Arabidopsis thaliana: one gene and its partner. The protein of the gene in region 1 interacts with the protein of each later gene in a pairwise test. Each region holds a gene or a part of one and is shown on either strand. Other genes may lie near its edges.

Region 1 (12,437 bases):
GTTCGGAAAGGGATCTACTGGAGAAATACTACTCCGGCTTACATACAAAGCATACGTGGAGGATGAAGAAGATGATAAACGCAACGCAAAAGCCATATATGCAGATGCTTCCGATGATGAAATGTCTGATTCGGAAGAACCTAGCTCATTTGTGCAGAATGACAAGATTCCTTCAGATGATATTGGTCAAGAGTCATTTATGAACGTGTTGTCTGCATTGATTTTGAGCGAGGAATTTCAAGGCATAGTTTCATCAGAAACTGGGAACAATAAAGTTGATGATGGTGAATCAAGCGTGTCACCTGTTCCTTCAATGTCTGGGGCGGACTCAGAATCTCGACCAAAAGATGCTGGCAATGGGGACGTATCAGATTTGGAAGTGAAAAATGCGAAATCTGATAGAGGTTCTATTAATAATGGAGGTATATCGAGGCTCTATTTTATGATGAATTTGTTTCTATGGTTGCTTTGTCTAAAACTATTAAGCTTTGTTAATTTCAGGATTAGCATTATTGTGGTTCGGTGTAATCACTTCTGTACTGGTGCTCGTTGCTATCAACATGGGCGGCTCAAGTTTCTTCAACCCGTGACATGGTGTTGTATGGATAATTACGATTTCTTTTGCCAAAGTAAGTATGAACCTCGAAATGAAAACTTTGTAAGTTATGCCTATGGTTGCCAATATCAGTTGACTTCACTTGAATATATGTATGGAATCTCTGCATATAGTTGAGGATCGGCCTTGCAATCTTTTTGGAATCACTTTACTGTTTTTCGCTGGATTTATGCTGGGTGTAGTTTCTGTTTTGGCTTATTATGTTTATACCGTTACTCGAAAATAGGTGTCACTTAGATAAAACTATGTAAGTTGAAAATGATGAACCTAATTTTCTGTAATTGAGACATACTGAGTACCTAGCATACAATTTACGCTAGAAAGTTAAAAACCAATGTATTGTTTTGGAAAGATTGTGCGATTTGGCAATGGTCAGGTGAGTCTTCTATACAATGTGGCATAGTCCTGTTCTGCTATTTGCATTTGTTAGTGTCCCATTGTTGATTGACTGACCAAAGCCTTTTATGTAATGGCAGGTTGGTTAATTTTCTCTTCTCGGCCTCAGAGATGGCGTATAACGAGGTCTCAGTTTTGTGTTTACATTCTAGTGCTGTTGTATGCATTTAGAAGAGGGGCGCTTATTGGCGGCAGAAAGTTTTAGGGTCCATTTCACCCAATCTCTTACAACTGTGATCAACGTGTATACCAATGGTTTGTTATAGTACACGAATATTTTATTCAAATAAAGATTTTTTTTCTTTTTCTGAAGGGATTCCATAACACATTGCACGAAGACACCTGATATTAGCAGTCACTAACTTTAGGATTGAGAAAAGTGTTCTCCAAGAATTCTAGGTGGAAGTAGTAATGAGTTTTTCACTTGGCCTTTTTTATTCCTTGGTTTTAGTTTTTTCCATATTGTTAGCTACAACAACTTTAATATTCTGCCATGGATATGCCTTTCTGGAGGAGGAACAAAAAGTTCATGGAGATATCGATGCGCAGAGCCTAAACAAGGTACATTCATCTTCTTTCTGTTTTTTGCAATGTTTTGCTGGTTTCCTGGCTATTAAACTTTGTCTTGCTAGATCATGTTAGGGAGAGGTTAAACTCTTCATAACTCTCAAATATCTAATATCGTTTCTTCCCAATCAACTCCTACTTATTAGCCCATCGCCTATCTAACTCACAATATTTTGCTTGAAAATTCATTGCAATATTTGGTTAGAAATAGTGTTTCACAACCTGTAACGAAGGCAAAGAACGCTGTTTATAGGCTATGATTGCTTCTTTTTTGGTGTATGCGTTTAGCAATTTACAGTATTGTGTAACAGTTTTGTATGCATGCATCGTTTTCCCCATTAGGATCAGTTTAGCAATTTTGTTCGATGTTACTAAGACTGAACTATGGTTAATTTCAGGGAACCAAGACAAAGGCGCAAGAAAGTCTCCTTTCTGGTCGTTTTCTTAATCTATTGTTGAGAAGTGATTTCTTTTCAATATTGATTGTTGAAGTAACCCATTTGAGTTAAGTTTTTGAGTAGGGTAACAATGTATCGTCTAATGAAAAGCCACTGAAAACGAAACGATCTGTCTTTGGAATGATTGATTGGTATTGCTAAAATCATGGATTATATATAATGCTAAACAAGAATGCTACCAACAATTGAACGTGTCCCCGATGTATTAGACTATTAGTTAATTGCACGTTAAGAGTAGATCTACACTTATTATAAGAAGTTAAGTACATGCAATCAAACAGAAGGCACAACAATTTAAAATAAAAACTGGATCGTGGGTGCATTAAACAAAGTGATTTTGTTTTCCATTCTCTTTTAGCAAGAATAGTAATAAAATGGAAGTGGCAGAAAACAAAAATTTGAATAATAAAAAGGGATTAATAAGAAGTGAGAAAAAATGGAGAATTAGTAATAAAATTACAAAAAATGAGGAAGAGAAATCACGTGAAGGAGTTGAGATCACGTCAGGCACATGTGGGGAGTAGGACAGTCCTCGTTTATAGATTTGTTATCTTCAACTCTCCTCTCTTCGGTTTCTCCGTTCTCTTTTGTCTTTTTCTTTCACCTTTTTTTTTTTTTTTAATTTTTTTACTTCAAGAGAAGTGTTTAGTCATAATACGCTTCAATCTTAACAAATCATAATTTATGTGGGTTGTTGTCTCTGGCTTCTTCACACTTTTTTAGGTACTAATGGAATGGACAAAGACGGTTTTTGTTGATGCAGAAATGACGCATGGGTTTATTTGGCGTTGGACCAAAGAGTAATGTCTTTGTATTTGGATATATATATAAACAAATTGGTGTTTCTTGTAATGTAAACATTGGTGTGATTACACGACCTTGTAACGGTTTAAAACTTTGTCAAGCGTCAACCAAATTTTCACTGACGTCAAACTGTCAATGTCAAAAGGTGTGATTCGCCAAATAGACATTTATTTTTCCATACTACAAAAAAATGATTTGTAGCTGTAAATGTGAGTAAGAAATTAGTTGGCATATTTTAAAGAGTAAATATATTTTATGAGAGATTTTGCAAGAGCTGGATATTTTCTCAGACAGGCCATCATCCCTGTAATTTTTTTTTTCTTTCTATGTCAAATAAATAAATAATTACTTTTTGGCGACAAAAAAAACTTTTTGAGCACTTCATTACTTTAAAGTGTAACCATTTTTCTAAATAAATCATGATTTTATTTGCTTTTCTAAATCAACTATTAAAATACTTAGGTGGAAATCAAATAATTGGTTACAGTAACAGAATTATATATTGAGAGCCTTTTTCACCAAATAACGTGATAGTTTGTGTGTTTATTACTGTATTATGTAGGCACTGATAATGATACAAATGATTTCATATATGAATTTTGATGAAAAGCATGGCTATTGGGATTTGGGAAAACATTTCTCATCACAGCCGTAGTTTTTTTTTTTATATAAATAAGAGGCATTTTATATAAAATTTTTTACTACACATTAGTTTCTAAAATACTACATTGTAATCTGAATAAGATGAAAGTGAATGACTAATTCACAATTGTTTTGGCTTAAAAAAAACACTCATTTGAAGATCCCTTAAGAGTTGAGAGAAAGATATAAGGAACTCTCATTAGCATTCATAATGTATAATGTTTTCAAGATATTTTAGGCAGTGCTTTTTTTGCTTCAATCATAACATATCAAAACTAAATGTTAAAGATTGTTGTAATAACTATTATGATAAGAAAAGTTGTAATGAACTTTTTGCCAATAAACAATATATAAGATCGTCGGCTTAGTAACCTCACGAGGATGGAATGTGCTTTAGGTACATCAACAAACATGTAGGAGGACTGTTTCGCTAAAAGCATTTAGAAAACAAAAATCAATACAATCAACCCATAAAATGCATTTAAAAAAAAAACGAATTGGACAATTACATTTCCTTCATTGGGCACATGTCTTCCTGTAATTTATTGTGATTTACATACCAAAAGAAAGATATATTTTTCTATTTAAAAGAAATTTAAACTGCTAAGATTTGTTGCCTTTTTTTATTTATTTGCTTTTACCTATTTATAGCAGTAAACTCTTTTCAGAAAAAATATCCCTACAAAGAATTTGTCCTCATATTCCTTTTATATGCTAACTGCTAAGTAAGAAATTATATTTTGGAAGATATGTCTAATTAAGCTCTAGGTTCGATTTACATATAATTTCTAAATGTTAAAAGAGTTGGTAAAAATATATTAAATACTGATATAAGTAAAAACAATTTATTTTTATTTTCTTACATCAGAATTATAAACTAAAAAATTGCTCATAAATATAACACATGTGATTTATCAACATTACAACTAACATCGAATTTTTAATTGCGATAACAACAAAGAAACTTAGAAATATGAAAAACCACTTATACAAACCCATGAAAAATATACATTATATATTTCTTAATTTCTATATTTTTGCGTTATTATTACCTTTTTTATTTTAAAATTATATAAAAAAATGGGAAATAAAAAATACCTTGTTTTGAGCGAAAAATGCAAGTGAAGCAGGCTGGCTTGAATCACGTTTTATTATAAAGACAAATGCTCTCACACTCTTGGGGACACTTTCACATCTCATCCTCTCACTCTCTCTCTCCTTTGGATTCTTCAGGTACTCTCTCTACCTCTCTTTCTCTCTCTGTCTCAGTCGCTGACTTATCATTTCCTGTCGTTAGATCTCTCAGTACTTGGTTCATAGTTGTTTCATAGCACGCACTAGTGAACTATGTGGGTTTTTTAATTTTAATCATCTCAGTCTTGGAGAATTTCAAACAAAGTTTCAAACTTTGCTCACCAACTTTTATTTATTTATTTTGGTGGTAGAAAACAGACTTTGATGGCTTTGTAGGAATACTAGATGTGTAGATCTAAAGATTATAACCATTTTCTGTGTTCTTGTTCTTTCAGAACATAACTTCATGTCTTTTTGTCTCTCTGTTCACTAGCTCTCTGTTTCCATGGACTCCACACTATCTTCTTCTTACAGATTTATTTCATACACATACACTGATACACATGTGTGTATACGTATGTGTTTATGTGTGCTTATTATACTCTTTTTGGATTCAAGAAACTAATCTTTAGTATTTTTGACATTCTGGTAGATTTATGCTCACTTCTTAGGCCTTGTTGACTTTTACAGTGATGGATTTTGAAACTCTGGTTGATTTGATTTTCTTTTTGGTTTGATGCAGTGAGGAGAGGAAATGTCGGATCTTCAGACACCGCTTGTGAGGCCCAAGAGGAAGAAGACTTGGGTTGATTACTTTGTCAAGTTCAGATGGATCATTGTCATCTTCATCGTCCTTCCATTCTCAGCCACATTCTACTTCCTCATCTACCTCGGGGACATGTGGTCAGAGTCCAAGTCCTTTGAGAAACGTCAGAAGGAACACGACGAGAATGTCAAGAAAGTCATCAAAAGGCTTAAGGGTAGGGATGCTTCCAAGGACGGGCTTGTCTGCACTGCTCGTAAGCCCTGGATCGCTGTTGGAATGAGGAACGTTGACTACAAGAGAGCCCGGCATTTCGAGGTTGACTTGGGGGAGTTCCGTAACATCCTTGAGATCAACAAGGAGAAGATGACTGCTAGAGTGGAGCCTCTTGTTAACATGGGACAGATTTCCCGTGCTACCGTCCCAATGAACCTGTCTCTCGCTGTTGTTGCTGAGCTTGATGACCTTACCGTTGGTGGACTTATCAATGGATATGGTATTGAAGGAAGCTCTCACATCTACGGTTTGTTTGCTGATACCGTTGAGGCTTACGAGATTGTTCTTGCGGGTGGAGAGCTTGTCCGCGCCACAAGGGATAATGAGTATTCTGATCTTTACTACGCAATCCCGTGGTCGCAAGGAACTCTTGGACTCCTTGTAGCTGCTGAGATCAGGCTTATTAAAGTCAAGGAGTACATGAGACTCACTTACATACCAGTCAAGGGTGATCTTCAAGCCTTAGCTCAAGGTTACATTGATTCTTTTGCTCCCAAAGACGGTGACAAGTCGAAAATCCCGGATTTCGTCGAAGGCATGGTTTACAATCCAACGGAAGGAGTGATGATGGTTGGAACATATGCATCTAAAGAAGAGGCAAAGAAGAAAGGGAACAAAATCAACAATGTGGGATGGTGGTTCAAGCCGTGGTTCTACCAGCACGCGCAGACCGCCCTGAAAAAGGGACAGTTTGTTGAGTACATCCCAACTCGTGAATACTACCACAGGCACACAAGGTGCTTGTACTGGGAAGGGAAGCTTATTCTTCCATTTGGTGATCAGTTCTGGTTTAGGTACCTCTTAGGTTGGTTGATGCCTCCAAAGGTCTCTCTTCTTAAGGCCACTCAAGGTGAAGCTATCAGGAACTATTACCATGATATGCATGTTATTCAGGATATGCTTGTTCCTCTTTACAAGGTTGGCGATGCACTCGAATGGGTCCACCGCGAAATGGAGGTAAAACTAAAAGCTCGGTTTCATGATTGATCATCTTCTAGTTAAAGTTTCTTTTGATGTTATTAACAAAATCATGAATTGTTTGTTCTCTTTCAGGTGTATCCAATTTGGCTTTGCCCACACAAACTCTTCAAGCAGCCAATCAAAGGCCAAATCTACCCAGAGCCAGGCTTCGAGTACGAAAACAGACAAGGAGACACAGAAGATGCACAGATGTACACTGATGTTGGAGTCTACTACGCACCTGGCTGTGTCCTAAGAGGTGAAGAGTTTGATGGATCAGAAGCAGTGCGTAGGATGGAGAAATGGCTGATAGAGAACCATGGATTCCAGCCTCAGTACGCGGTGTCTGAGCTCGACGAGAAGAGCTTCTGGAGAATGTTTAATGGTGAATTGTATGAGGAGTGCCGCAAGAAGTATAGAGCTATTGGAACGTTCATGAGTGTTTACTACAAGTCCAAGAAAGGAAGGAAGACTGAGAAAGAAGTTAGAGAAGCCGAACAAGCTCATCTCGAAACTGCTTATGCCGAGGCAGATTAAGTAATAATAAGCCTTGGTTTGATGTAATGGCTCGGGATGATTATTGTTATTCCTAGTAGTGTCTGTTATGTTGTTGTTTCCTAATTTCAGTTTTAGTGTCTTGAAGACTCTTGTTGTTGTTGTTTGCTTCTTGTTGTTGTTTGACTCATTCTGGTTTGAGTGGATTTTAGAGTTTAAAACTTTTGGATTTGCCTATGAAATTGAAGGTTTCCGGTTTTATCGTGTTGCTTGACTGTCACAATGTAAGCATGTTGCTGTAATGAATTAATTGATCTACCAATTTGAGAGATCATTTCAACTTCTCTCTTTATACCACCACCAACTAGGCTTTAGATCATTCACGACGTGAATCTAAAACACTAAAACCCGACTTTGTTAGTTTTATTGGGGTGCGGTTAGGTTTGATATAAACCTGGAAATACCGGTATTTGAACCGAAGTTGACCGGGTGAGACTTTTTAGGATAAACCCAAGCAGCCATTTCCGAGTAAGAAGAGCTCTGTTTCTGAAAGAAGTTTTACAGAGTCGATCGTCTAAAGCGTTGTTGAAGCACTTGTTAGTGGTAAGTAATTTCGATTTATTAATTCTTGTTGTATCTTTTGTATTCGAAGTTACTTGCTTGTTTTTCGATTTCGTCTCCGTCATGATGTTTGCGGCTCTGTTAATTGGAAGTGGAAAGGTCTGTCCTTTATCTACATAAAATGGTGCATAGAAGGTGTTCGACCAAATTCCTAGCTCAAATTCCTTTAGTTACATTAGCTCTGACTGGAATGTAACTGTGAAGTCTCGATACCCAATTCATTCTTTTCAAAAACAATTGAAGATTATTATTTCCCTTCTCAAGATTTTCTGTCTTTTCTCTATTGTTGACACTATATCAGCAAATGTTTCTTGCAGGTGCTCTGTTTCAAGCTGGATAAACCCAATCCTATTGGGATTTGGCTGGATTTTATACCATATTTTAGCATGATTGTTTGATAAACGCTTGATAAATTGCCTCTTGTTGTCACCTTTGCTACGAAAATGTCTCTGGTTTGCTCTTTATCTTGTGTAGCTCCCTTGCCACAGACTAAACAGTCGCGTCCAAGTTTTCTGAAACTCGAAACATGTACCTTAAGTTTATCTTCTCCCGCTGGCTATCCTAATTTTACCACCGGTATTAGGAAGCATATCAGTTACTTGTTCACTGAACCGATCAAGCTTCCTAGGCTAGCAAAGAGTCGGATATTAGTTAGTCAGGAGTCTTTTACAGAGACCAGCACAATAGATATGGATTGGGAAGATCAGGAGGAAATTGAGGATACTGGGTCACCTTGGGAAGGTTCGGTTATGTATAGGAGAAATGCTTCAGTTACACATGTTGAATATTGCACTACCTTAGAGAGGCTTGGGTTGGGAAGGTTGTCAACAGATGTCTCGAAGAAGAGAGCTTCTGCAATGGGACTTAGAGTGACAAAAGATGTCAAGGATTATCCAGATGGCACACCAGTTCAAGTTTCGGTTGATGTCATAAGGAAGAAGAAGAAGCTGAGACTTGATGGAATTGTCAGGACTGTTATCACACTCGGCTGCAACAGGTGCTTTCTTATGAACTCATCGAAGCTTTTTTACTTTATTGTGATTGCATCAACTTTGTTATTTAACGGGTTTTCTCTTATGTGTTTGAAGATGTGGTGAGTCAACAGGTGAGAGCATCTTCTCCAACTTCTCGCTATTACTAACCGAAGAGCCAGTTGAAGAACCCGATGTCATTGATCTAGGATTCACATTCGGTAATGACAAAGAAGAAGGCGAAGATGATGATGATAATGATGATTCATGGATAGATTGGGAGGATAAGCTTCATTTTCCACCTGAGGTGAAAGAAATAGATATCTCAAAGCATATAAGAGACTTGGTGCATTTAGAAATCACCATCACTGCGATATGCGATTCTGCATGTAAAGGAATGTGCTTGAAGTGTGGTGCGAATCTGAATAAGAGGAAATGTGATTGTGGCAGAGAAGAGAAGGATAAAGGATATGGACCTCTCGGAAATCTTAGAGAGCAAATGCAACAAAAAGAGGGACTAAGGAACTAAACTCAACTCAACGATAATTGTATGTATTTTCCTTTTTACATCTTCATCTTGTTGGTGTTACTGTCATAAAACTCAAAATCAGGTACAATAATGTTCAAATGTGAATCTTAAGTAGCTATAACGTTTTCATTATCTCATTCATATGATTTTTATTTAGAATCAATCATTACATATTCTTGTAAATGTGTTTTTTATTTTGTATATATTGGAATATGAACAGTATCAAAATCTTTTTAAGACTTTGAAGTACATTGAACAGAGAGATTCAAAGAATAAAAAGGTTTCTACTTCTTCTTAAGTTCAAGTAGTCTTGACCATCTCTTATCGACAGAAGCTGTATTTGTCTGACCAACGTCTGCAGAAGCAATTGAGAAAACGAAAACTCTTTAATCCTTTCGAATATTTTACTAACATGTCATGTGAAAATAGGAAAGAAACAAAACCAACAGAATGTTGCTTACAGTGCAGTGTTGGTTCCGATTTTTCGCAGGAATCCGAGCATATATCCTACAATCAAACAACAATATAAGTGAAACAATCAGACTTCACAACCAAGATTTATAAAGCCAAGAGATGGGCATAATCGATCTAAGGTTTTGGCCTTGTGGATTCCATGAAACTTGGTAATAGTTTAAACAGAGTCTTACTTTAGCATAAGTTGTGAGGCGGATAGTGTCTTGCACAAGGGAATCAAGGTTAGCTTCATATCCAGGTCTGACATATATCACCTGCCAACAGAGACTTTTATTCATTCCACTTGTTGAAATGCAAAAATATATATAGAGAGCTTATGATGTTCTAAGGGCTCTCACCGAAGGATCATCGCCGCCAATTTCTGGCAGTGTTGAAGCTCGATTTTCCCGGCTTGATGGCAAAATCCAGACGGTGAAACTTGTATCGATCTGGTCACAGATATTTCATCAAAACAGTTTCTTGCGAAAGGGTTTTTGAAGAAACCCCTTTAGAATGAAATAGTTACCAGTCGAGGATAAAGAGAAGAGCAAATGCTGCACTTTCTTGCGATAGAAGTCATGATTCTTCCATCTACTGAGAGGCCCATGCTCGCGTGCTAGACAAGTAACAACACTAAATGATTGATTAGGTAAGAGAGAAGACAGCTTCTAATATTCAATCACTGTCACAACAACATAGTGGTGGAGAAGATAGTTACCCTTTGGACAGAGAGGTCGACAGAGACACGGGAATTGGGAGGGCCATCTTCAACAAGGTCTTGGAGTTGAAGATCACGCAGAGAGACATCGTACTGAGTCTTCCAATTTCCATTCCATTTGCCTTCACTAGGAGATAAAGTGATCAGACGCTTCACTGTTTTTGAGCTCCCTCCTCCATTAATGGCTGCCTGTATCGGCTAAAACATTGGGTTTGGATCCAAAACGTGAGGACTCTTTACATATCCAAACCCAGAACCAAAAAAAAACACATGCAGTGCAAAAAGAAAAGTAGAGAAAGCAGAGAAGAAGTAACATACGGAAGAAGCTTGGTGTTTCTTGGAGAGGGAAGAAAAGGGAAGGTGATGAGTATTGCCGGAAACTTTAATCTTCGAGTTCAAAAGATTTGGAGAGATCAAACAACGTACATCCATGGATGATGATTCTTTAGAAAGGACTGTGAGGAAGAACCTGAGGTCTTAGAGACCATGCAAACCTTATCCGGTATACACTCCCCACAAGTCTTTTGGCGCTTCACGTGTCTTCTTCTCATACTTATATTATTAGTAAATTTACAAAAAAAGAAACAAAAGTCGTAAGTCATACTAAAAAAGTCAAACAAGTATGTAAGCTGAGATTATGACCAAAATACCCTTACCTTTATCTGGGAACCCACAAAAAGAGACCTGCGCAATTCTTAAAACCCTCGGACCCAGAAAAGCTTCTCTCCATCGCTTCTCTGAAAAGGTAATCTGATATATCTTCTTCTTCGTCTCCTTTTCCACATTTTGCTTCTCTGAGTTTTGATTTGAATTTTGAGTCCTTATTAGTAATTCGAACGAACATTAGATTCCATTCTAGTCACTCATCTACTCTTTTAGCGTTGATTGCTATACAACACAATCAGTTTCTGCTCAAATAGTTTAACATCTTCCCAATTCCTCGTTTCAGATTTCAACAACAAGAGGATGAATTGACAACCATTCCCGAAAAAAATCAGGTAATCGGCTTTTGAGATTTTCATTATGGAATTCTAGTCCCAGATTTTGTTTTTTCTGAATAATCCCCTTTGATTTTCCATGTTATGTTAGAGATATGTATGCTGTTGTAACATTGAATTGTTAAATTGGTAGATTCTCACTCAATATGGTTATTTCTCAAGAGGAAGCTGACAATGATCATGCAAGCGGATCGAAAGGATCAAGCGTTGGGGAAAACAGTTTGGATTCTATAGAGTCTGAAGAGCATGATGATGATATGTCTGATGCGAGCGGATCGGAAGAATCAAGCGATGAAGAAAACCTTGTGGATTCTCTAATGTCTGAAATGATTAATGAGTGGTATGATGAGATGTATGATGATTTAACAGACGGACTCGATGATATTCTTGCTGCTAGAATCCCTTCACTTAGCGCTCTACGAACCAGCAATAAGCAACCCTCAGATTCCAACAAGACTAGTATTGTGTTTGATTCAATGAAGGCACTCCATGATCTACCTGGTGTTAGGATGTGGTCGCCTTTATACCGTGCATCGTTGACTCATTTTCAGGCTGATGTTACTCATAGAGAGGCCTTCTTGGCATTTTCTGATCCTGAGGATAAGATTTGCTACTTAGAGAACAAGACTGGCAAAAAGAGAGATGAATGACTTTTGTTATGATTCTGACCTTTGCTTTTGCTTATTAAAATGTTTTCCTATTGAAGTAATCTGCAAGAGGAATGATCTCAAAAGAAGATATCTAATTCTGTGTTGTATTTGTTTAGAAGACATTTTCAAGTGTTATTCTTACAGTTTAAACATTTCTTCTACCCACATGATGGGTTTTACTATCTTCTACTCTTTTTCTTCTTCTTTCTAAAACAAAACGTAAAAGAAAAACATTGCAAGAGATGCAACGCAAGAGCTTCTAAGGCCAAGCAAAGTCAATGTCACTGTTATCAACATCCCACACTCCAAGACCGATCTCATCAAACAACTGCTCATAACTCCAGCTTGAGTATCCCAAGAAAAACCAGTACTCACTTGGATTTAGCTCTCTAGATTTCAACTCTTGGATTCGACGGGCCACAGATTGATGATCTAGGAAATACACG
Region 2 (11,461 bases), about 13 Mb from region 1:
TTGGATATCAGTTCATTATTCCGTATTAAAGCCGTTGGTTTTTGTACAACTGAGTAATAAAGTTCATGTTGAGTATGTCAATTATTGGATTTGGGAGTTCCAAAGAAAATTTTGAAGACTTTATGTAAAATGGAAACATCTGGTGGCGAAAAGAAATGAAAATTGGAGTTTCCATTCACCATACACAAAACAAAAAAAAAAAAAAAAAAAAAAAAAGCCTAGATGTAACCTTTCTTTAGCGGTCATAATATAATGTTTTCGTGGATGTGAATTCTTGACGCCCAAAAATAAGGAATTTTTAATTCATTTATCTAACCTTTTGATAAAATAAAATAAAACTACACGCTTATTTCAGGTTTGATCTGTTGTGAGATTAGTTACAACTTTTTAAAAAGTTAATGGCAAACAAAGTTGTCGTCGATAGTGATGATACCTAGATTACCTTTTAGCTTTTCTTTCTAGAGAGTTATCTTCCCAAACAGCTCTCAAGTATACGTTTTAGCTAGCTTAGAGAATTGATCTTAATTTCAGAAAGAAAAAAAAAAAAGAATGCTTTGAATTGAAGCACAAATTGGTTTTTCTTAATTGGATTTGAAGAATCAATGGATTAGACTAGAATCAAAAGGTCAACTACTATGATTCCCGTGAAATAATAATCAAATATGAGTGATCCAAATTTCTATATAATTGCACATCATTGATTTGTGGATCTATCAAGTGTTATCTTTTACTTATATTTTCAGTTAGATCTGACAACAATTTTCGTACTTATTCTATTAAAGTTGGACCTCGCAACAACCTTTCATATCAACGTTGAAGTTTTATAGTTAATTATTAGTTCTTGATTTTAAAATGTGTCAAATGATATAATGATTAGTTCAAAGTTCAAACCACTGATCAAAGATTACTTACTCACGTTGCACAAAATCCACCTTGAAACATCATAGTCTCGATGTCACATCCCAACAACTAGTTAATGTTTTAACAAAAAAAACAAAAACTAGTTAGTGTACTTCAAAAGTATATATTGGTATAACTGATTAGACGAATATGTAAGAAAAGTTGACTACAAGAGTATGGAAGCCGTGGTAAGACTTCCAATGAAATAAAAGCAATCAAAGCACACTGTTTTTTACCTATTTTATTTATTTATTTATTTTGTTTGCAACTAAACGTCATCAATTTAAAAATTGTTAAATACATCAAATATGTTTTCTTTATAAATATCAAATTTGGTCAGATATATTTTCTTTTTCAAATTTAGCTTCATAAACATCAAATTTTACTTTTGGTTTTGTCTCTTTAGTTTGTTGGGCTTTTGGAGTAAAGAGTTCAAGTCCAACAACTAAGTCGATAAACAGCCAAATCCTCGTAGATAAACAGGATCCAGCTACATATGTCGATTCACATGCATCTTTTAATATTCGTCCTCGGTGAATCTTTAGATCAACGGTTACTTTATTACTAATTGTCATTAGCACCTCTTATTTTAGCATAACCAAATCAAACACCTTTAATTATCTTTCTAATATCACTACCCTAGTTTATATTTTAAGATCCACTGAGACCTTAAAGCTGAAACAATGTTTTTAATCGAGGGAGTGATTAGAGATTTAATCAAATGGATTTAGACTGAACCACCAAATTGAATATTGAATCTAGTGATGTTTTTGGCTTTATTTTCACATATCCAAAATCAAACATCAACCAAAACCAAATTTAATAAACCTAACTATTTTTTTTTTTCAAAATCGACAATCTGATATTTAGAGTATGAACACAAGTTTCAAATAAAAAAAGAAAGAGTATGAACTCAATTTTATAAGAAAACTCCAAATCATCTTATTGACCAAAGTGTTTGTATTCACACTTGTATCTTTCTTGTTTTGAGTAGGAGTTCTTTCTTGTTATCTTTCTGGTAATGTCAATTCCGTAATATCGGATAAAAAACAAAAAGAGTCCACTAAAGTTTTGGTGGATGATTAACACGTCCTTCGATATTGATCTATTTACACTTTGGAGTCAAAACAAGATAATATCAAAATCTGATAGCACAATAGGCCTTGCGGCTCTAACTGAAATATACAAAAACTCAAAGGGTTAAACTGCAAACATGAGAAGAAAAGTGAGCAACGCTCCTTTCTATTTCCTTGGATATAAAAGCTGTACGGGACCAGAGCTCTGCAAGTCTTTTTTATAAGCTCATGCTCATTATTACTCCGACAAGTGCCGTGTAATTCCTCGCCCTCGGCTACTCTTTTCTCTTCTTGCCTCTCGTCTCCGCCGCTGATTCAGCTGCCGCCGACAAAGGTTTCTCCCTTTTTTCTAAGTCTTTTATGAGTTTTCCTTTCGTTACAAGTTACAACCATAACCTCATCTGGTCACACATAAACTATAATTTCAGAGCATGAAAATTTCGTACTTGCTTGCTTCATCTGCATATTTCGATCTAAGCATCTACTAGTCAATTTCTTTCACGTATATTTTTAAGGGTTTTCTCATAACCTTATACCTGAAGTATGGATCTCTAAATTGGGGATCTTTAGGTATGTGTTTGGTACATCTTTCTTGAAAAAGCTAAACTATTTTTCTTTATTAGGAATATGGAAGAAAAAGATGTGTATACGCAAGATGGAACTGTTGATATTCACAAAAATCCTGCAAACAAGGAGAAAACCGGAAATTGGAAAGCTTGCCGCTTCATTCTCGGTAACGTTCTAATCGTTTCACCAATCTTTTTCTTCATTATTGCCGTATAGGACCTGGACCAGCTTAAGTAATGGCCTCTCGTGTCCCCTGTTTTTTAAGGTCCACTAAAAACATTTACATGTAAATAATAAATGTAATGATTAAAAAGAGATTATATACGATTAAAAGCAAATTGAATGATAGAGAACAAATAAAATTTAAAATATTATTGGAAATGTTTAGTTTTGTAGGGTGATCACTATGAAAAAAGAGTTATAAACCTAAAATCTGCTCTGTTTTCTTCAAAAAAATTGTCTAAATAAAGAAAGGGCCATTATATTTTTTTATTATATAGCTTGGGCCCTGATTGGATCTATCCATATAAGATTAACCAGTTTTATGTGTTTTGTGTAGGAAATGAGTGCTGTGAAAGATTGGCCTACTATGGCATGGGCACTAACCTTGTGAATTATCTTGAGAGCCGTCTGAATCAAGGCAATGCTACGGCTGCAAATAACGTCACGAATTGGTCTGGAACATGTTATATAACTCCTTTGATTGGAGCCTTTATAGCTGATGCTTACCTTGGACGATATTGGACTATTGCAACTTTTGTTTTCATCTATGTCTCCGTGAGTTTTACTTGTTTCTTATCTTTTGGTTAAAAATGTGAATCTTTTGGTTAAAACTAATTAAGTTTGTTTTTTCTCTTGAAGGGTATGACTCTTTTGACATTATCAGCTTCAGTTCCTGGACTTAAACCAGGTAACTGCAATGCTGATACTTGTCATCCAAATTCTAGTCAGACTGCTGTTTTCTTTGTCGCGCTTTATATGATTGCTCTTGGAACTGGCGGTATAAAGCCGTGTGTTTCGTCCTTTGGAGCTGATCAGTTTGATGAGAATGATGAGAATGAGAAGATCAAGAAAAGTTCTTTCTTCAACTGGTTTTACTTCTCCATTAATGTTGGAGCTCTCATTGCTGCAACTGTTCTCGTCTGGATACAAATGAATGTTGGTTGGGGATGGGGTTTCGGTGTTCCAACAGTCGCGATGGTTATCGCGGTTTGCTTTTTCTTCTTCGGAAGCCGTTTTTACAGACTTCAGAGACCTGGAGGGAGTCCACTTACTAGGATCTTTCAGGTTATAGTAGCGGCTTTTCGGAAGATAAGTGTTAAGGTTCCAGAGGACAAGTCTCTGCTCTTTGAAACTGCAGATGATGAGAGTAACATCAAAGGTAGCCGGAAACTTGTGCACACAGATAACTTAAAGTAAGAAACTAAAGTTTGAATCTTTATCCTAACTTCAAAAATACTCTGTTTTCAAATCTAAAGTTTTGAAAACATCTCAGGTTTTTTGACAAGGCAGCGGTTGAGAGTCAATCTGATAGCATCAAAGACGGGGAAGTCAATCCATGGAGACTATGTTCTGTTACTCAAGTTGAAGAACTTAAGTCAATAATCACACTTCTTCCAGTTTGGGCCACAGGAATAGTCTTCGCCACAGTGTACAGCCAAATGAGCACAATGTTTGTGTTACAAGGAAACACAATGGACCAACACATGGGAAAAAACTTTGAAATCCCATCAGCTTCACTCTCACTTTTCGACACTGTCAGTGTACTCTTCTGGACTCCTGTCTATGACCAGTTCATTATCCCGCTGGCAAGAAAGTTCACACGCAATGAACGAGGCTTCACTCAGCTTCAACGTATGGGTATAGGTCTTGTGGTCTCCATCTTTGCCATGATCACTGCAGGAGTCTTGGAGGTTGTCAGGCTTGATTATGTCAAAACTCACAATGCATATGACCAAAAACAGATCCATATGTCGATATTCTGGCAGATACCGCAGTATTTACTTATCGGTTGTGCAGAAGTTTTCACCTTTATAGGTCAGCTTGAGTTTTTCTATGATCAGGCTCCTGATGCCATGAGAAGTCTCTGCTCTGCTTTGTCGTTGACCACGGTTGCGTTGGGGAACTATTTGAGCACAGTTCTTGTGACGGTTGTGATGAAGATAACGAAGAAGAACGGTAAACCGGGTTGGATACCGGATAACTTGAACCGAGGCCATCTTGATTACTTTTTCTACTTGTTGGCAACTCTCAGTTTCCTCAACTTCTTAGTGTACCTCTGGATTTCAAAACGCTACAAATACAAGAAAGCTGTTGGTCGAGCACATTGATCAAGAAACTGGTGTGGAAGATATTTGGAGTTAACAGTATTTGTTTGAAAAGTGTTTTGCTTGTAAATGTTTTTTGTATGTGGTCTAGTTGTTGTTGGTGTGTTAGGTTTGTTTTGGTTTTGCTTATGTATTTCTGAATACTTCCAGTCTTCCACTTATATGTAAAAGGCTATTGGTAACTATTTTATGAGCTTTTTGCTTAAAGCTTTTTGACCGTCTGATAATATGTCCTCCTATATTTTGCCATTGCTCTTAAGAAACTTATTATATACATTGGAAGTTATAAGCAATAAGCTGGGAAATAAAATCAAAAACTAAACAACAGCATGGGAAATCTTAACAAAAAGCAAAGCACATAGGATCCTATTGTCAATACATATGTAAACTTACTACTAGACATTAAACAAAGAGATCAAGTATTTTCTTCTGTTTCTTTGAAGATGTCTTTACTTTTGACTATATATCTGAACTGTTTGGAAAATGCTCAAGATCAGGATGCATAAGGAAGCCCCCTTGGCTTCTTGGAGGTTGTCTAACAAGATTGAGACAAGCAAGCGTCAAAAACAGATTTTGATTCTGGGGTTTATTTGTTCAGTAAAACCCATGGTTTATATATATATAGTCAGAAACAAGCTTTTTATTGAGCTCAACTATATGCACATAGAAAAAGAGAAAGTTTTTTTGTCATTTTACGAATGTGGTGGTGCGATGAAGCCAGGTTTGGTCACTAAATGAGCGGAAGCGGAAATAGCCAGCAGGACTATCTGGAAATGAAACCAAACCTAATCATTTAACAAAGTATAATCAACTCTAGCCTTGCAATTATATGGCTAAGAAGGAAAAATTTAGACCATAATAAGAGTTTAGAACAAACAGGTAGAAGTAGTAGATGTATTACCTTGATGAAAGAATCAGAGGGCGTAAAAGCTTATACAGAATCTCATTCTTTAAATCTGTCACTAACTTATCTAAATTCTTAAACTGTTCACGGACATTGCTGCTAGTGCTCTCAGTAGTATAATTCCTAACTCTGTATTAGTGCTCTCAGACGTGGTTATTACGAAATGCAGGCATAAACCAACCCGATCATACCCATCACATTATCAGAAGTCGCCATCAAAGAGATCACCAGAAATCTTGGGAAGCAAGGAACCTAAGTTGGTCTGTCAATTTTGAGATAATGGGCCTATCTCAAAACAGTATCGGGCTCGTCTGCAAAATAAGAAAAAGGCCTAGAAAGTCGGTTATTACACGTGGCATCCTTTTATTGTATATTTACTTTTCCGTCCCTTACATTTTCTTATTTAAATAATCTGTTAACTTGCTTCTTCTTCTTCTTTCTTCATCTTCATCTTCATCTTCGCTTCACAATCTCTTTGAGACTTTTGCATCGGAGCAATAATAATATATTCATCGCAAAATCAGTGAATTTTGATATTCAAATCTTAATCGGCGATGGAACGAACAAGCAACGGAGGAATGTTGTATCACGAGGTTCAAGAGTCAAATCTGTGCGCCGTACACTGCGTCAACACGGTGTTGCAAGGGCCTTTCTTCTCTGAATTCGATTTGGCTGCCGTCGCCGCCGATCTAGACGGGAAGGAGCGTCAGGTTATGCTTGAAGGTGCTGCCGTTGGAGGTTTTGCTCCCGGCGATTTCTTAGCTGAAGAGTCGCACAATGTTTCCCTCGGCGGCGATTTTAGTATCCAGGTACGAATTCGCGATGAAATTGATAAATCTTGAGTTGCATTCAACATTTATATATTGTAAAGCCTTTTTGTTATTGTGTTGTTGGAAGTTTAGGCAAAATTAGGGTTTCGATTTTATGGTGCTTTTGATTGCTGTGTTTATGCTGAAGTGATAAACTTTTGAATGGTTGGATTCGTTTTTAGATAGATTCAAGAAGAATTGAGATCAGTAATGGTGTGAATTTGCGATCTTTACTTTGGGTTAAAACTCATTTGTTGAAGGCTAGTTTCATTGTGCGAACATTGCTATGCTGATAAATGGAGGAACTTGAGATGATTTTTTTTATCTTGGGACTCAATTGTTTTGGATATGTTAGTTATTAGTGAGGTTCTGTATATTCAATTATCATCTTTTGTTTCTTGGATAGCTTTAAACCGAGTTGGTTGATAACTTGATATTTGATTAGGTTGCTACAAAAGTCAGGTTTGATTGCAAGATTTATGTATTGAGATTCAAGGGTATAGTATGGTGTTTTACATCACATTTTTAGATATCTAAAATTAAAGCTATTTTAACGGATTACGTTGAAGTTGGATGCGGATAAAACACTGCAAACAGAGGGTTTATGCGATTGGTGTAGCATTTTAATCTTGCAAAGTTGATCTAGTCTTTGCTTATTCGTTTAACTGAGAATGCTTCTGTTTGATTGACAGGTCTTGCAAAAAGCTTTGGAAGTGTGGGATCTACAAGTAATTCCACTCAATTGTCCAGATGCAGAGCCTGCGCAGATAGACCCTGAGCTTGAAAGCGCCTTTATCTGCCACTTGCATGACCATTGGTTTTGTATAAGGAAAGTGAATGGCGAATGGTATAACTTTGATAGTCTCCTTGCTGCCCCGCAACATTTATCGAAGTTCTACCTTTCTGCGTTCTTAGACTCTCTCAAAGGCGCAGGATGGAGTATCTTCATAGTGAAAGGAAACTTCCCTCAGGAATGTCCCATGTCGTCTTCTTCTGAAGCTTCCAATAGTTTCGGGCAGTGGCTTTCTCCTGAAGACGCAGAGAGAATAAGAAAGAACACGAGCTCAGGTTCTTCTGCCAGAAACAAGAGAAGTAATGACAATGTTAATCAACAAAGACGGAATCAGGCATTGTCACGTGAGGAAGTGCAGGCTTTTTCAGAGATGGAAGATGATGACTTGAAGGCAGCAATTGCAGCAAGTTTGCTTGATGCTTCTGCTGCTGAGGCCAATCTCGGAGCTGTGGGCACTTCTGAAAAGGAAACTGAGAAACAAAAGTAGCAGAGAAAATAGAGAACAAGTGTTATTGATGGAGGTGGTGGGATATTCACTTTTGTTTCTTTGTTTTGGTTTGTTATCAAGAGTTATCAACAATTTTACATACAGAACAGAGAAAGAAAAAAGCTTACATCGAAAGATAGAAAACAGAGGATAATAAATGGTTTGTGGAATTGTTTTTGTTTGATTTTTTTACCATATTAAATTCTTCTGACAATCTTAAATTGAGGATAAAGATTCGACCTTTTCGAATTCATAGGAAACTACATCTGAAAAGGGTACATAAATTACTTCAGTTGACTAAAAGTAGATGAATGACCAATTTAAATGTGTTCTATGGAAAATATAAAAGGATGGTGTAAAATTTGATTCATCTCTAAGTACAATCTGGCGAACTTTTACAGTTTGAAAAAAACAAGAAGGATAACACTTTTAGGCTGGAAATAAAAACATCGAGAGGACAACAAACACCTTCTTTTTCCCTAAACAGAGCATAGCCTTTGAATTATTAATTAATTATTTGTATATTCAAAGTTGATGGCTTTGATGATGATGGTGATGACCCAACTTTAGTCTCTTCTTCACTTTTTATTTTTACTTTCTTTGTGATACATCAGGTTCCTTCGATTCGAGCCTTTAGGATTTCCTTTCACATAATGATCTGTTTCTGACATTCAGAGAAAGATATACATATCTGGGTTACTTTTGGGATCTGATCATCTGAGGAAATCTGAATCCAAGTTTGCTCTGATCTTTCTTCTCAAATGAGTTCTTCTTCGGACAAGTTGTTCAACAGAGACAGGACAATACATGAGATTCTGGGAGGAGGCATTGGTTAGTGAATACATTTCTTTACCAAATCCAAAACTTATAAAAGCTAGGTGATCTCTCACCTCTATAGCCTTTTTTTTTTCTTGTTATGAAATGAATCTGCAGTTGCAGATGTGATGCTGTGGAGGAAGAAGAATGTGAGTGTTGGTATAGTTACAGTGACAATAGCTTCATGGATGGTGTTTGAGGCATTTGCTTACACTATCTTTACTCTTATTTCAAGTGTTCTTCTTCTCTTGCTCTCTATTCTCTTCCTCTGGTCCAAATCTGCTTCCATTCTCAACAGGTATATTAATATTCACTTGTAACTAATATTACTTCATTTCTGATTCAATTTCTTGGCTCTTCAGGCCATCACCGCCGTTACCGGAGTTTCAAATAAGTGAAGCGATGGCGGAAGAAGCTTCGATATGGTTACGTATTCATGTGAACAAGCTACTCCAAGTTTCGCATGACATTGCAATGGCAAGAGACTCAGAGTTGTATACCAAAGTAGCAGTGTCACTGTTTCTTCTCTCATTGATCGGAAGTCTCATGGATTTTCAGACACTTTGCCACACCAGTAAGTAGATATTCTAAAACTCCTATAGACTTGGAATGCTTTTGAGCTGGATATTCATTTTGTGGTTGTTCTTGGTTAATTTGGCAGGCGTTTTGGTGGTTATGACGGTTCCAGCTTTCTATGAGAGATATGAGGATTACATTGTTGGCTCTATTGAGTTTATCTGCAACAAAACTAGAGAGCTTTACCTTAGACTCGAGATATGGGCTAATCCGGAAAATAAGAAACTGAGCTGAGATGCTGTCACCTCTTTCTTCTTCAGGAGTTTCTTTTTCTGATTTTTCTCGGTTTTGTGGAAAGAAAGGAGAAAAATGTATGATTTTTGATAAATGTTGGATGGTACAGCCAATATATGAGCAATCCACAGAAATTTTATTTCACAGTTTTACTCGAAAACTGAATCTCTATTCCGAAAACAATATTCGACCAAGTTCTGGCCTCTCTCAATCACCGAAAATGAAGAAGAAAACAATGTTGCTCTTATTCCCTCTGCTTAAAACTATGTGTCTCAGTTTCTTTTGGACGCATCGAGTTCCCGGACATACTTCTTTGCCTGGATTAGAGTATTAAGAACCCGGATTAGAAAATGAGAAAGAAGACTTTGCGTGACCGATTCGAATGCGATTGCGATAAAATAAAAATTCTATCAGTTGTTACCTGTTCGAGGGTCAAAAACATGATTACGTTCCATGAGCCAAGGCGTCCAAAGTTGGGGATGAAACCCTTGTAAAATGCCATAGGACCCTGTAGAGGAAACCGTAAAGAGTTTGTAACATTTTCTGGGTTATATCTAGAACAATGGAGGTATCAGAAGCAGAGTTGCTTACGTCGCTCTTCAGAGTTTTGACGAAGCAGTCAATGGTGCCCTTGTAAGCACCAGAATCTCCCATCATTCTTGACTTAACCTGCCACACAACAAGATTTAAGTAGACAATCAGGAAACGTGGTGAATAAACTCAAGGTTCAATGTCATGAGTAAATACTTTACCACGTCGACAGGAGAGCCGATGCAGACAGCAAAGAATCCTGCTCCCAGTCCAGATAGAATATGTGTGACAACGTTGTCAGTGAAACCCGGAATCTTCAAGATCGTCTGAACACAAAAAAAAAAAGGAATGTTGGTTGCTTCAAATATCAGGATCTCTTATTTAGAAAGAGAGACAGAGAACATATTAGTTTCATACCTCTTTCACTTGATCGTAACTCGCTAATTCAGCAGCATTGATAATAGCGTTTCTTGCTACGTTAGGTCCAAGACCAGTCCAAAGAGCTCGGACTCCTTCCTGTCAGAGCCACATTAATAAGATATGAAGTAGAGTTGAAGCAACTTATGCACAATCTCAACTTCCAAGTCGGGATAACTACCTGTCTCACAATTGTTGAATAAGCATTCAGCGCTCCAGAATACCGTCTTGGCGCACCTGCAGCTAGTTTTCCTTCGGCCTGAAGCCTAACTTTCACAAGATCAGTGGGATTTGCTACCATGATACCCAGTGCACCTGAGAGTTAGACAACAAAAACAGCCCAACTAAGTGATAAAGAGGAAATATATATTACGTGTTTTTTCTAAGCTGGTCTATCGTTATGCTCACCTGTTGTCAAACCAGCAAGAATTTTCTTGCTCAATGGAACATCACCTACAAAGTCTTTTCCAACATACAAGTTTTTCACCTGAGTAGAATAAATTGGTTAAGGCTTTAAGTAGTAACTAGGAAAACACTGAGTTTAAGCACTTTTCTGGAGCATGAAAGAAGAAGAATTTGTAACCCACCGGCTCATACATTCCAATCCTAAGACCTCCAAATAGGCATTGACGATGCAATCCAGGTACAACACCTTTCCATAGTGAACGTAACCCTTCTTCCCTTGCTATGGTACCAACAGTTCCCAACAATCCTCGATATTTAGGCAGAGTAACATCACCAGCAAGAGCAGACTTTTGGAGCTGAAGCCTAACTTTAGCAGTGTCCAATGGAATTGTGCATACCTGGTCCAGAGAGTTTAATTGCATAAGAACAGAATTATCTGACGAAACAACACAGCCAAAGAGAAGATACATGTTGTTCTGAGGATAATTAAACATTATACAGTTGCGTTGCATAGCAATCACAATGATCAAATAGATTCCATTTTCAAGTCTCATAATCATTTCAATGTTTCGCAAAATCATATCTAAAGCATAAATCAACAACACTACACATGCCAAAA

Evidence for each region.
Region 2: the proteins of DWF1 (region 1) and AT3G54130 interact in binary tests that used the Arabidopsis thaliana proteins (3 or more experiments, as listed by UniProt).

Annotation. Positions count from the first base shown.
Region 1 is NC_003074.8:6,874,491-6,886,927, reverse strand, and holds DWF1 (cell elongation protein / DWARF1 / DIMINUTO (DIM)), read left to right. Parts: upstream 1-4,612; 5' UTR 4,613-4,716; exon of another isoform or gene 4,717-5,299; 5' UTR 5,300-5,311; coding exon 5,312-6,553; intron 6,554-6,649; coding exon 6,650-7,093; 3' UTR 7,094-7,404; downstream 7,405-12,437. Other genes in the region: NTMC2T5.2 (Calcium-dependent lipid-binding (CaLB domain) family protein), read left to right, coding at 1-422, 502-590; AT3G19810 (BTB/POZ domain protein, putative (DUF177)), read left to right, coding at 8,116-8,669, 8,761-9,172; AT3G19800 (E3 ubiquitin-protein ligase, putative (DUF177)), read right to left, coding at 9,457-9,527, 9,634-9,679, 9,820-9,900, 9,985-10,074, 10,152-10,241, 10,344-10,541, 10,662-10,775; AT3G19790 (uncharacterized protein), read left to right, coding at 11,488-11,991; AT3G19780 (uncharacterized protein), read right to left, coding at 12,251-12,437. UniProt on the Arabidopsis thaliana protein: Plays a critical role in the general process of plant cell elongation. Involved in the synthesis of campesterol, an early precursor of brassinolide.
Region 2 is NC_003074.8:20,039,297-20,050,757, reverse strand, and holds AT3G54130 (Josephin family protein), read left to right. Parts: upstream 1-6,177; 5' UTR 6,178-6,328; coding exon 6,329-6,583; intron 6,584-7,275; coding exon 7,276-7,863; 3' UTR 7,864-8,117; downstream 8,118-11,461. Other genes in the region: PTR1 (peptide transporter 1), read left to right, coding at 2,604-2,709, 3,103-3,320, 3,405-3,958, 4,039-4,873; AT3G54120 (Reticulon family protein), read left to right, coding at 8,625-8,694, 8,797-8,977, 9,042-9,253, 9,341-9,489; PUMP1 (plant uncoupling mitochondrial protein 1), read right to left, coding at 9,762-9,806, 9,911-9,997, 10,081-10,158, 10,242-10,346, 10,438-10,536, 10,619-10,752, 10,846-10,924, 11,025-11,240. UniProt on the Arabidopsis thaliana protein: Interacts with key regulators of transcription and represses transcription. Acts as a histone-binding protein that regulates transcription. Acts as a deubiquitinating enzyme.